3 linked regions of the Neodiprion lecontei genome follow. The protein of the gene in region 2 purifies or fractionates together with the protein of the main gene of each other region. This does not show direct contact. Links are inferred from orthologs where the notes say so. Each region holds a gene or a part of one and is shown on either strand. Other genes may lie near its edges.

What was found.
Region 1: the proteins of replication protein A 32 kDa subunit (region 2) and DNA topoisomerase 3-alpha purify together in Homo sapiens (affinity purification with mass spectrometry; 4 studies listed by BioGRID and IntAct, with this or other methods). This does not show direct contact. The link is inferred for Neodiprion lecontei from reciprocal best matches to the Homo sapiens genes RPA2 and TOP3A.
Region 3: the proteins of replication protein A 32 kDa subunit (region 2) and zinc finger-containing ubiquitin peptidase 1 purify together in Homo sapiens (affinity purification with western blotting; 3 studies listed by BioGRID, with this or other methods). This does not show direct contact. The link is inferred for Neodiprion lecontei from reciprocal best matches to the Homo sapiens genes RPA2 and ZUP1.

What each region holds. Positions count from the first base shown.
Region 1 is NC_060263.1:2,645,172-2,648,928, reverse strand, and holds the start of DNA topoisomerase 3-alpha, read right to left. Parts: upstream 2,642-3,757; 5' UTR 2,517-2,641; coding exon 2,298-2,516; intron 2,163-2,297; coding exon 1,819-2,162; intron 1,739-1,818; coding exon 1,620-1,738; intron 1,539-1,619; coding exon 1,192-1,538; intron 1,120-1,191; coding exon 831-1,119; intron 657-830; coding exon 158-656; intron 81-157; coding exon 1-80. Other genes in the region: uncharacterized protein LOC107225596, read left to right, coding at 2,900-2,967, 3,208-3,610. UniProt on the Homo sapiens protein: Releases the supercoiling and torsional tension of DNA introduced during the DNA replication and transcription by transiently cleaving and rejoining one strand of the DNA duplex.
Region 2 is NC_060262.1:40,665,900-40,669,221, forward strand, and holds replication protein A 32 kDa subunit, read left to right. Parts: upstream 1-1,341; 5' UTR 1,342-1,480; coding exon 1,481-2,257; 3' UTR 2,258-2,695; downstream 2,696-3,322. Other genes in the region: F-box only protein 22, read right to left, coding at 1-152, 489-676, 920-1,101; zinc finger MYND domain-containing protein 10, read left to right, coding at 3,069-3,166, 3,267-3,322. UniProt on the Homo sapiens protein: As part of the heterotrimeric replication protein A complex (RPA/RP-A), binds and stabilizes single-stranded DNA intermediates that form during DNA replication or upon DNA stress.
Region 3 is NC_060260.1:34,343,268-34,347,024, reverse strand, and holds the start of zinc finger-containing ubiquitin peptidase 1, read left to right. Parts: upstream 1-1,000; 5' UTR 1,001-1,473; intron 1,474-2,309; 5' UTR 2,310-2,342; coding exon 2,343-2,548; intron 2,549-2,888; exon of another isoform or gene 2,889-3,121; coding exon of another isoform or gene 3,122-3,162; exon of another isoform or gene 3,163-3,250; intron 3,251-3,319; coding exon 3,320-3,549; intron 3,550-3,618; coding exon 3,619-3,757. UniProt on the Homo sapiens protein: Deubiquitinase with endodeubiquitinase activity that specifically interacts with and cleaves 'Lys-63'-linked long polyubiquitin chains. Shows only weak activity against 'Lys-11' and 'Lys-48'-linked chains.

The sequences.
Region 1 (3,757 bases), on a different chromosome or scaffold from region 2:
ACGTTGCTGTGAATACTGTTTTATACCTGGATATTTGATCCTGCAAAACATCCGCTGGCTGTTTCACACCGTCGCATATTCTGAAAGAAATTATTTATTTCTCTTTTATTTCATTATAATGATATTTTATTTCATAACTAGTTGATATTTCACCCACAGCTTTAAATCGTTTTCGAGTCCTGCTCTGAGGTGTGGTTTGGACATATGAAAGCCCATACTGTCGTAGCCCATGACCAATCCAATCCCGAGCTTTCCGGGAATGAAATACTTTTGATCCTTCAGGCCCACGTATTGCCTTGATTTTATTTTCTCGATATGTTCAGCGTGAGTTGCATCAGTGCCAATTCCGTGCTTATCCATTAAAGCAATTAGGTCAGCTTCTGTTAGCAAGTTTGGAGGTGAAGTTTCCCCATCAACCATTTCAATGCCAGTGGGTCTGAAAGTTTGTCCCTCTTCGTATGCATGGATTTCTTTTGCATTCCACGTTTCGTACGGGTACACTTCTAAGTAATTTTTGGCAATTATATGAAGACCACTTGCTATAAATTTTTCCTGCGCAATATCAATGTGAACAATGGTCTCTTGACCTTCTGCATCCTTTGATATACAGGCCAAAAAATGACGAACTATAAACTCGTATACACGAGCCTCATTGCCTGTAATAAAGTGGATTCTTGATTTAAAAAATTGTTATACAGTCAGAAAATTACTCCAAGCGGAAATTTTTACAAATTTTTGGGAAAATTGATCGTTTTCCAAAATTTTTGAAATTTTCAAACCATGATTACGGTCTAGACTAATAGTAAAGTTGATAAAGTTTTGTAACATACCTCCTAAAGTAGCAATGTACTTCGTAGGATGAATCGGAGGGTGAGCTCCATCATTTTTTTTCCCTTGACGTGGGAAAGGCCCGTTTTGCAGTATTTGTTGTGCAAACGGTCCCCACTGTGGACTTGCAGATTGATGTTCGACTAGTGGCACAAGATTGAGTTCCTTGGGAAAAATGTTAGTTTCTGTACGAGGGTAGCTGATAATACCTTGAGTGTACAGTTTCTCTGCTATTTTCATTGTCTCCTTTGCGTTTAGTTTCAACTTGCGTGAACCCAATTTGGCTAATTCCTATAAAATTAATACAATTGAAGTGTATCGGTTGTCATATAATAATAATTTACATAAATCAGTTGTACTAACGACGGTGTCCAATGGCAGCGGTCTCCATTTGCTTTTCGGTTTGCACGTAACTTTTTCTACAGTTGCAGTAGGAGATTCTAAACACATGTCCAGAAATATCTGGCACGGAAGGCGTTCAAACAAACGATTTCTGTCCCATCTAAATTCCACCAATATTCCATCACGATCGTCCGTGACTTTGATTTTCCAAAATGGCTCTGACTTGAAATTTTCAATTGCGAGAAACCTCTCTACTACAAAACCCAGGGTTGGAAACTGGCAGCTGCCATAGCTGATTAACATCTCAGCTAGCGTTTGTGGAAAAACCTTTTGAAGTCTCATTGTTTGAAATCGTGTAAATGCAGCTCCTGTTGGGATAACGTTGACATATTTAACCAATACAACTCTAGCCACATATCATCGTTTGATTAATTAAACAATTAAATTACCTATTCTCAAGTCCAATTCGCTCCTAACGTCGACAGCATCGCTTATGGCTTTGTTCGGTATTCCTAAATTATGAAGTGCTCGAGTCACCGATGGAGCAGTTATTTCCGAAAATTTTGCTCTGAAAAAAATAGCCAAGTAAAGATATACTTCGAACTGGTAGTAACATTTATTGACAGTTTTGACCTTGCCAATAACTACCGGTATATCTTAATGGTGGGCTTCACAGCTTGGCAAACTTGTATAACTTCAAAGCCTATGTTTTCACCCTCTCGATCGCAATCTGTCCATATAATCAGTGCCTGGCAACCCTTAGCCTCCCTCTCTAAGGTTTTTTTTATTTTCATAAAATTCTCCTCGCACTGCTTAACCACAGGTGCTTCAAATAGAGATAGTGGATTACATCCCTGCCAATTACGATATCCTCCGACAAATTCATGATTCAACAGGTGACCAGATACCGACGTCATTATCATTTTGCACTGCTGGCCCCATAGCTGGGTATCAAATTCGTAGATCTTGTTATATACTGATAGTCCTTCTCGCTGAAAATAATTGACTTTACTAGTACTATTGGCGTGTTAATTGTTTATCTGACCAGTTACGATATTTCAGAGTTTGGCAGCAAGTGGTGTTGTGAATTTTACAGATGAAAAAACAAAATAGAAACCAATAGTTACCCGATGCGAAGACCCACGTGAAAGATAGCCAGCTATACCTTTAGCTGCGTCATTTTTTTCAGCAACATTCAACACCTTCATGACGTTTTTACCGCTATTGTACAGCTCTTTGACAGTATCACTGCTACTTAATTTGGCCAGTTGAATCCATGTAGTTCTTAAATCTATAAACAAATATTTCTTAACCTTTATCTTCGTAATTTTCGATGTAAATTTCATGCGGACAAGTAAAAGCGAAGAAATAAAGAAGAAATAGACGTTAACGAAATACTTTTGACTTGATAAGATTAGATTATTGCCGCAATCAATCGTTTGGAATTAACCAAAAATACTCGGTGATTAGAGAAGTGTTTTGTTCACATTCTACTCACCAAAAACTAGCCGGTTGATCTTTGTTTGTAATACAAAATGCATTAAGCAGTTGCGGTATACTGAAAAGTAGAAAACATGAGTGAAAAAAACTCCGAAGCTTAGTGAATTTACGTAAACCTAAAGCATACTTTTTCAAATTAATATTAACTTAAAATAAATTATAAAATAAATCGAAAGTGTGTGTTGACATTTGTTTTCGGTTATGTAGAACTCTGTAGAACTCCAGAATCATGGCGTCTGCTATGCTGCGCAGAATTGCTGGAACAATTTTCTCCGAATGTAATTTACTAACGCCAAGGTAACGTAGATTTTTCACACTGCTTAAAGTAAGCTATATTTTATTGTAGTTGTGATTCGCTTTTTCGTCTTTCAACCTCTTTAGATTAATCAGCTATACAATAAAAAGAAAACCCATTTCTATTTGAGGTTAGGTCGCTTCTTGTCTACCCGTTTATTGCACCATAATACGCAATATTGTCCTGCAACCATTAATATCAGTTCGTGATACTAGAATAACTGGATTTAACTTTACTTGCAGAAAACTATCGACACCGATAGGTTGGAGAACCTTGGCCAACGTTTCAAATAAATCAAAGGATTACAAAAATGAGGAACAATATGAAGAGCCATTGCGATTCACCGGTAGTAAGGCTGATACTTGGATAGCTATGAAATCAAGAACGGGAAAAATATCGGATGAACCTTGGTACCAGATGTACGTTGTGATTGCGAGCACAGCTGCGTTTCTTATATATTTCGGCATTCTAAGGGAAGAAAGCGACATCGATAGACACTTTGATTTAACGCTTTATGATCACATAGAGGGTCTAGAAGAAGTTCAATTAAGAGCTGTCCTAAAGTTTAATCGGGAACGTAATCTTGATACAAAAGAAATAGAGGCGAGATTGAGGGAAATCGAAAAACAAAAAATGGACAAATAGTGTCTGCCGTATTTAGTTTCATTTAATCCTACACTTCGATTGTATGTCCGAAAAATTGAGTTCCGCTCTAGCTGTTAGTATAAATAAACGAGTGCTTCTTTTGTGGCATGGAAATTGCTTGGCAATATTCCCATAACCTGTAAATAA
Region 2 (3,322 bases):
GGTATGAAAGTATTTGATTTTCACATCAGGAATCTCAGGGAAGAATATACTGGATAGACCTCTAGCTTTGTTTTCCACTTCATCATAAATAGTGCCACTGTTTGTCAATGTTATATAATCAGTTTGAGGAGGCAAATAATTACACAAACAATCTGAAAAATTTGAATGTCAGTCAAACTAGAAAACGAAGATGAATGACGAATCTCATTATCGATGAAATTGTTTTAACACACTTGATATTACTCGATATTTCAAAGTTCTTGACAAGTATTATTTTCAATTTCCCATTTCTTTGCAGCTTGACAACTTATCAAACACAATGCTCAAGCAATTGAGTTCTAATGAAAAAATATGGGAAAAAAACAAATTATTGGGAAGGTGAGCAAATACTAAGTATTTCAAATTTTAGAGCTTCACCAGACTTTACTTTCTCTCGTTTTCTAGATAGCTTGCGTCGATGTGATGTTACGTTAAGCCTCACACAGTACCTGGCTGCCAAATTTGACGTCTAGTATGAAAGCCATTAAACACCATTCCAACACTTGGCTGGATGAACAATTTGTCCACAACATATTTTGGATCGGTAATTTTTTTCGACTCAGTATTAGGTTCAAGCAAAAAATGTTGTGGTTTCAGTCGAGTGTGAATTTCTTTTTCGGCAGCTTCATTCCAGGATCTGAAACATATCGGTTCGGTGAGGGGTAGTTCATTTTTATTTATTACCTGGAGAACCAAGTTAAAAAACTAACTATTCTTAACTGTTCTCGTTTTTTAAATAATGGAACAAAAAAACGTGGCTCGACCGCAAGAGGCAGTTAAAATAAATTGTTGAAGAACCAGTTCCACAATGGAGAGAATCGTTGGATGTGGAATATTTGGCCGCTAGAACACATTACAGAACGACCAAATTTTTTACTACCTGCAAACCATAGCCGCCCGAGTTAAATCCGTAATATTAAAATATTCTAGCATCAGTCGGAGTACGTCGTAGGTTATGCGCTCTCTACAATTTACACCATCCACATCGGTGTCAACATCCTTATTTTCTTCTCGATTAGATTGTCTCCTCTTCCGTGTCTTCCTTTTCGACACATTTTCCATGGCTACTCTTTTCAATTATTCCACGATAACAGTTTCTGTTTACAATATGCCAGAGGCCTTCTACCGTACTCAAACACAAAGAATCAATAAAGGCGACCGACAGCTGTGCGGTCTTCTCATGCATTTACGTGCGCTGATGCACTCCTTATCCATGAATGCAACTGCAATACGCATGCGCCAAGTGTTTGGCAGATGGCGCCACCAGCTTGTCTCGCGCAAACGCAAACGCAGAAATAAACATTTGAGGATTGCCATTGAATGGAAATCCCGCCAAACAGTAGACAGCGCGCAGTTTGGTGAACCTGAAAAAGCGTGTTGTTGCGATTTGAGGTTAAGTTGTGACCTTAGTTCTTCGTTATAAGAGTTAACAGAGTTGACAATGTGGGGCGAAAAAGCGTTTGCAAATGATGGGGGTGGGTACTTTAACTCTTCGGAGGTGTCTTCGCCGGCGGGGAACGCGAAACGAGGAGTGAAACGGGCCCAGAACATCGTTCCGGTGATGATGAAACACTTGATCGACAGCCCGGAGGAACTGCAAATCTGGGGTACGGACGTGCAGATAATAACGACCGTTGGTATCATCCGACGGATCGACCCTTCGGCGACGAAGATAACCTACGACATAGAGGACGAAACCGGGACGATAACGGCCTTCCACTGGATAGAGGCAGACAAACCCCCGCAGGAATCGGTCATCGAGGTGAACACCTACGTCCGGGTCTTCGGCTCGCTCCGCGAGCAGCACCAGAAGAAGCACATTCTGATTATGAAAATATGGCCGATAACGGACCTGAACGAACTGACCCTGCACCTCCTGGAGACGATATACGTCGACCTGAAGGGGGAGAAATTCGCTGGAGCCGGCAACATGGACGCGATCGGCATCCCGGACTCGAATCAACCTGTCGGACTGCAGAATTCGCTGATGGATTCCTCGATAATGGGAGCGAGCCTTGGCGGCATGACGAACGACCAGAAAGCCGTCTTCAAGATAATACAATCCGAAAACGACACGCCGAGCGGCATCGAGAGGGATCAAATCAAGGCGCGGGTGCAGCCGCATATCCGTCCTCAGGTCGACGATATACTCGACTTCCTGGCCGGGGAAGGACACATTTACACAACGCTTACCGACGATCACTTCAAAACCACGTAAACATGGATCATTCAGCGTCGATTTGTTTAAATTTTTCGGGTACTTATAGATCGAGTACCTTTGCCCTCCTCTTTTTTAAAGGAAGATGTTATGATACAGTACAATTACGTCAGTTAGATTAAAATTATTCCATTACCAGTCTATTTTTTATGAACCGCAAAATGATGAGAAAACAAAAATTGTAAATCAAAAAAAAAAAAAAAAAATACAGCACGCATTACATTTTTTGTGCATATTATTCCATGTTGTAACGTTTATACGCGTAATGCGTTGCCGATATATGTAATATGAATATCATACATATTTTTCTCAGCTTCTCGCTAGAAGTATGTTACTGTTTAGTCTTATGTTAATCTGTGTTCACTCTTTTGTATATTCGTAAAAGCCGTTATTCCAAAGATTAATAAAATGAAGCAAGGTTTTTTCTTACACACCGTATGTATACGCCTTATATCAGTTTCCATCTGCGCTCACAAGTTGTCTGCAAACAAGATGATTTTTATTCGGCTAACTTGTAATATGTTGAACTTCTTGAAGATAATATACTTTAGTATACATTCGTAAATTGTTGTTGCTTCATTCGGAATTCGAACCTCGATAGTAATCGGTATTTTCTATCCAACACCAATTATTTTTAATTTAAAATACTCTTTCAAATCGAACTAAACTGATTGCTCAAGCCAGCTGCCAATCGAATTTACGCGGGATTACGCGTGATACGAAAATTATTTACAAATGGCCGATGATGTCAGTAGAGCGTGTGATCAGTTTGAATAAGCACTGAAGTTTTCAATTCTGTGATGTATGTAATATGACGGAACGAACGGATTACATTATAACACCATGGGAAATAGAAATTCACGTACAAGATTTACAGCCTTCAAATATCGACGACATTGGTACTAAACGGTAAATTATTTTCTTATCCCAAGAAAATTCGATCATTTCGTACAAAGTATCTTGCGCTCTATATTTTCTCATACGGCATACAATATTGCGATAATTGTAGATGGCTGGAATTTCACAAGAAGTTAATGCTGTTAAACCAGCAAAGCGTTTTAGAAA
Region 3 (3,757 bases), on a different chromosome or scaffold from region 2:
TACGGTGTCCCTTGAGAATCATACGCGGCACTCGACAGTTTTGTACGTGCAAGACGTCGTTTGGAATTGAATTCCTACGGGATGGAAAATATTCTGCGAAAACACGAGGTTGGCAGTCGATCGTTACAAGTTCAAGTAGCCACAAATTCTACGTGACTTGAAAAATGTATATTTTATTTTTCAAGCCTTTTCGCGGAAAAGAGTCTTGGGAGAACGTTTAACAGATGCTTCAACTTGGCTTTCAACACGCAAACACATTTCCTTCATTTTTCTGCGTTCGAAACTGCACTTGTCAAGAGTGCACCGAAAACCACGTGAAGTGATAAAAACATTCGCGTACAAAACCACCCTGCATCACGGGAGTAATATTAATTTACTGTAAAAATTCCGCAATTCCGTGCGCTGACAAAGTTTTTCCACCATTGTTGCTTACCCTAGTTATATAAAGGGTCGTCGAATCGTCAGGTCTAGACTTTGACCGCATGGCTCGTGGCTTCGCAAAGACGTGCAAAGAATGTTCTGACTTACAGATAGGAGAAGTTTTGCTCCGCGGATGGTTACAATTCAGTCTGGATGATCGATACGAAACCCTCTACTATTCGCGTGAACAGCTGTCGTGACTATCTTTCGTTGATTCAAATCACGGTAGAAACTAATGCGACGTAATACAGCAAGGGACGTTGATCTCACCGGTGTGATTTGTTTGTAAACGGAGTTCAGGGTTACATCCGGTGAATAACGTAGCGATTTGTTAGAGCCTGGCGAAATCGATCGAAATTCATAAACCTCAAGAGTAAACAATATCGGAGAGTGTCGTCGGTTTACCGACGGGGTAAAAGCCGGAAGAGGGTGGTAGTCGTGACCTGAAAATGTAGTCAAGGGGTTGAGAGCCAGGCGCGATGTTTCCGCGTTTGCGCACCACGGCTTGGACCCCCTGTGTTCCAGTATCTCGAGGTCACGTTCGATCCGCTCCATGGCTGATACGCTCTTCCGCATAAACAGCCATGTATAATACAGCCATGCATATACCGCATTTTCGTGCCAAGCGTGCATTATGCCAGTTGTAACTACACCTGCGAGTAACGACGACTGCACCCCTTCCAAGGCCCATGCCTTGAAAACTGTCAAAGAACCGTACGTGTGACGCGAGGTGCCATCGCGTCGTCGCCAAGGGGCTTTCTTCAGTTTCTTTATCCTCCCGTAAGCCATGAACCCTGTCGTGAGAACAACATCCTTGTTCCGCGGAGCGAGTGAAACGCCAGCCTTCTAAGAAGCGCGACCGTTCCGAGGCTGGGGGAAACGGGAACAGTGGCTAAAACGTAGCGCCGTGCGCGTTGGGGGTAGAAAATTTCGCATATGGAGGAAGTCAGGGCACCGTGTTAGGCAACCAAGCCTACACGGAACCCGACCCGTGTTGCATAATATCGCTTTTCTCGTAGACAGTTCCGTCGCGTCCAGTGCCAATCCGTGCAAGTAAGTGATCTTTAATTAACACCTTGCGGTTCCCACGCCCGAAATGGGTCATCCTAGACAAATAGACCCTGCTCCACTTCCTGTTCTCAACCCACACTCTGCCCTAGATACGGTCAATTGTAGTCGAGATACACGGTGCGGTTCACATATTTTCGCGCATAACCGTTGCCGGGATTAATTATTTGCCCAGTGTCGTCTTCGTGGATTTGGATTATTCCGAGTGATAATTACCTTCGTTACTCGTCGCCTTTCGGCCGAGATTCAATTGATTCGTGACCCGTCGTCCAAGTGGGAATAATCGGTGTTGTGTACGATATGCGGTAGCAACGCCTGCAGTCCATGGGCGGTTATTTCAAACCGAAAATATCCCGCGAGTTACACGTCGTTGTATGCTTACTTCCAAGGTATTACCGGGAATAGCGCGTTAATCGCTCTTCCTCGCGTTGGAAAAATTTTCGGTTTAGAATGCCCGCGGACTGTGTTTCTAGCGATTTTCAACGGAAGTTTAAGATTAAACATTTACCGACTAATACACCGCTCGTGAATCGGCTTCTATTATTTTCATTTGTTCAATAAATCTCAAAGAATCAAATTTTCTCTTGCGGAACACCATAATTTATCTACTTTCAACCGGTTTGTAATATATTTCAATCAAAAAGTGTAATTATTATACTCATTTAACGATATTCATTTTTCACATTCTTTCATACACTGAACACTTAAGATCGTTACTTCTTCTCAAGAATACAACAGTGAATCAATAAATTGTTCACATACTTGGTATTTTGCTTAACATAAATGTCAAAAAACAATAACGTCAAATTCATATCAAACAGATTTATAGAGCGAATAATATTCAAAATATCGACATGGCATCGAGTAAACCGTTGGAAATGAGCTACACGTGCGAAATTTGCGGTCTGGAAGGCTTCAACGATGAGGAAATGAGATCGCACATGGTAGTCTATCATCTTCAAGGAGCAGCTAGCTGCCCTTTTTGTGACCTCGGTGAGGTTTCACCTGCCGAAATGCTCGTCCACGTGAACAGCGCTCACCTAGACTACTTAACTCCAAGGTATTTTTTTACAATTTTCATACTGTAAAATAAATCTCCGAATTCGATACTTATAACGTTTAATCAATGGTTTAGATTCAGACAGAATAAAAATGCAGTCTACCGCCACAAATAAATATAATTCGCCATTTGAATTAACATTCAAATAATTTTTAATGCTTGTTACCATACGTAGCACAACGGATCAGCAACTGATATAAATCACTGTCAGATGATCTAACATTTTGTAAGTTGATATGTTTTGGAGCACGTATCCCCGATCTTATTAAAGCTAATCGCATAAAACGTTTGTCGACCGTAATAAATCGTTTAAATACGTTAGCGCCAAGTAAAAGGATGGATAAATTCTTCTCATCAAGCAGGCTTAATCTGCTATCCAATCGTGTTACAACCTTGCCAACCTTGATCTGCAAAAGATCAGCTGTTCGATATTTCGAATTAGGCCTAGAGTTGGGAACTAAATATATGTGGCAGTTGCGGCATGTAGTTGTGTCATGAGGAGTAACCTCGTTGGATCGCTTGTCTAAAATTTCGTTGATCAAGTAAAAGGCGCAATTCTAACCACACTTCGTGATGTTGAACACGTGTAACGGTCGTTTGACCAAAAGAAAACGGTAAAAATTCTCAACCACTGTGCAATTTTCATACGTCAACTTATTGCCGAGTCAAACGCGTAGCGAGCTATTTGCTGCGAGACTGAAGTTGGGCGTTAAATCGAGTAATCACGATTTATGATACGCGAACCGGTATTAATTGATCAAATGTTTCCAGCACCCCGGAGAACGATATGATGGCCTTCATCGACGACGATCCTACAACGGACAGTGATCGTTATGACGAATGCCGAGGGCCTTCCCCGCCAGCATCTCCGTACGCCCCGCACCTCCAAAACGGCTGGGGTTCTCCGCCACCCTCCAAGCAATTGCAGGAAGAGCGGAAATCCAGCAGTTCAAATCTAAATAATAATATAAACAACAACAACAACAGTAGCATTGTTAACGGTAGGTCTGCTTACTTTTGCCTTCTTCAATCACGGTGCAAACGCATCTTGAAACGTTCTTGCGTTTCAGTACCCGAGGGTGCCGCTGGTCATGGTTCTCCTCTTCGTTCTGGCCTGAACCTTCAGCTTCGTTCACATGCTTCACCTAGGCCACCCGTACAGGAGTGTCCAATGTGTCCCTACACCTCCGATAGCCCACTAAGGCTTGA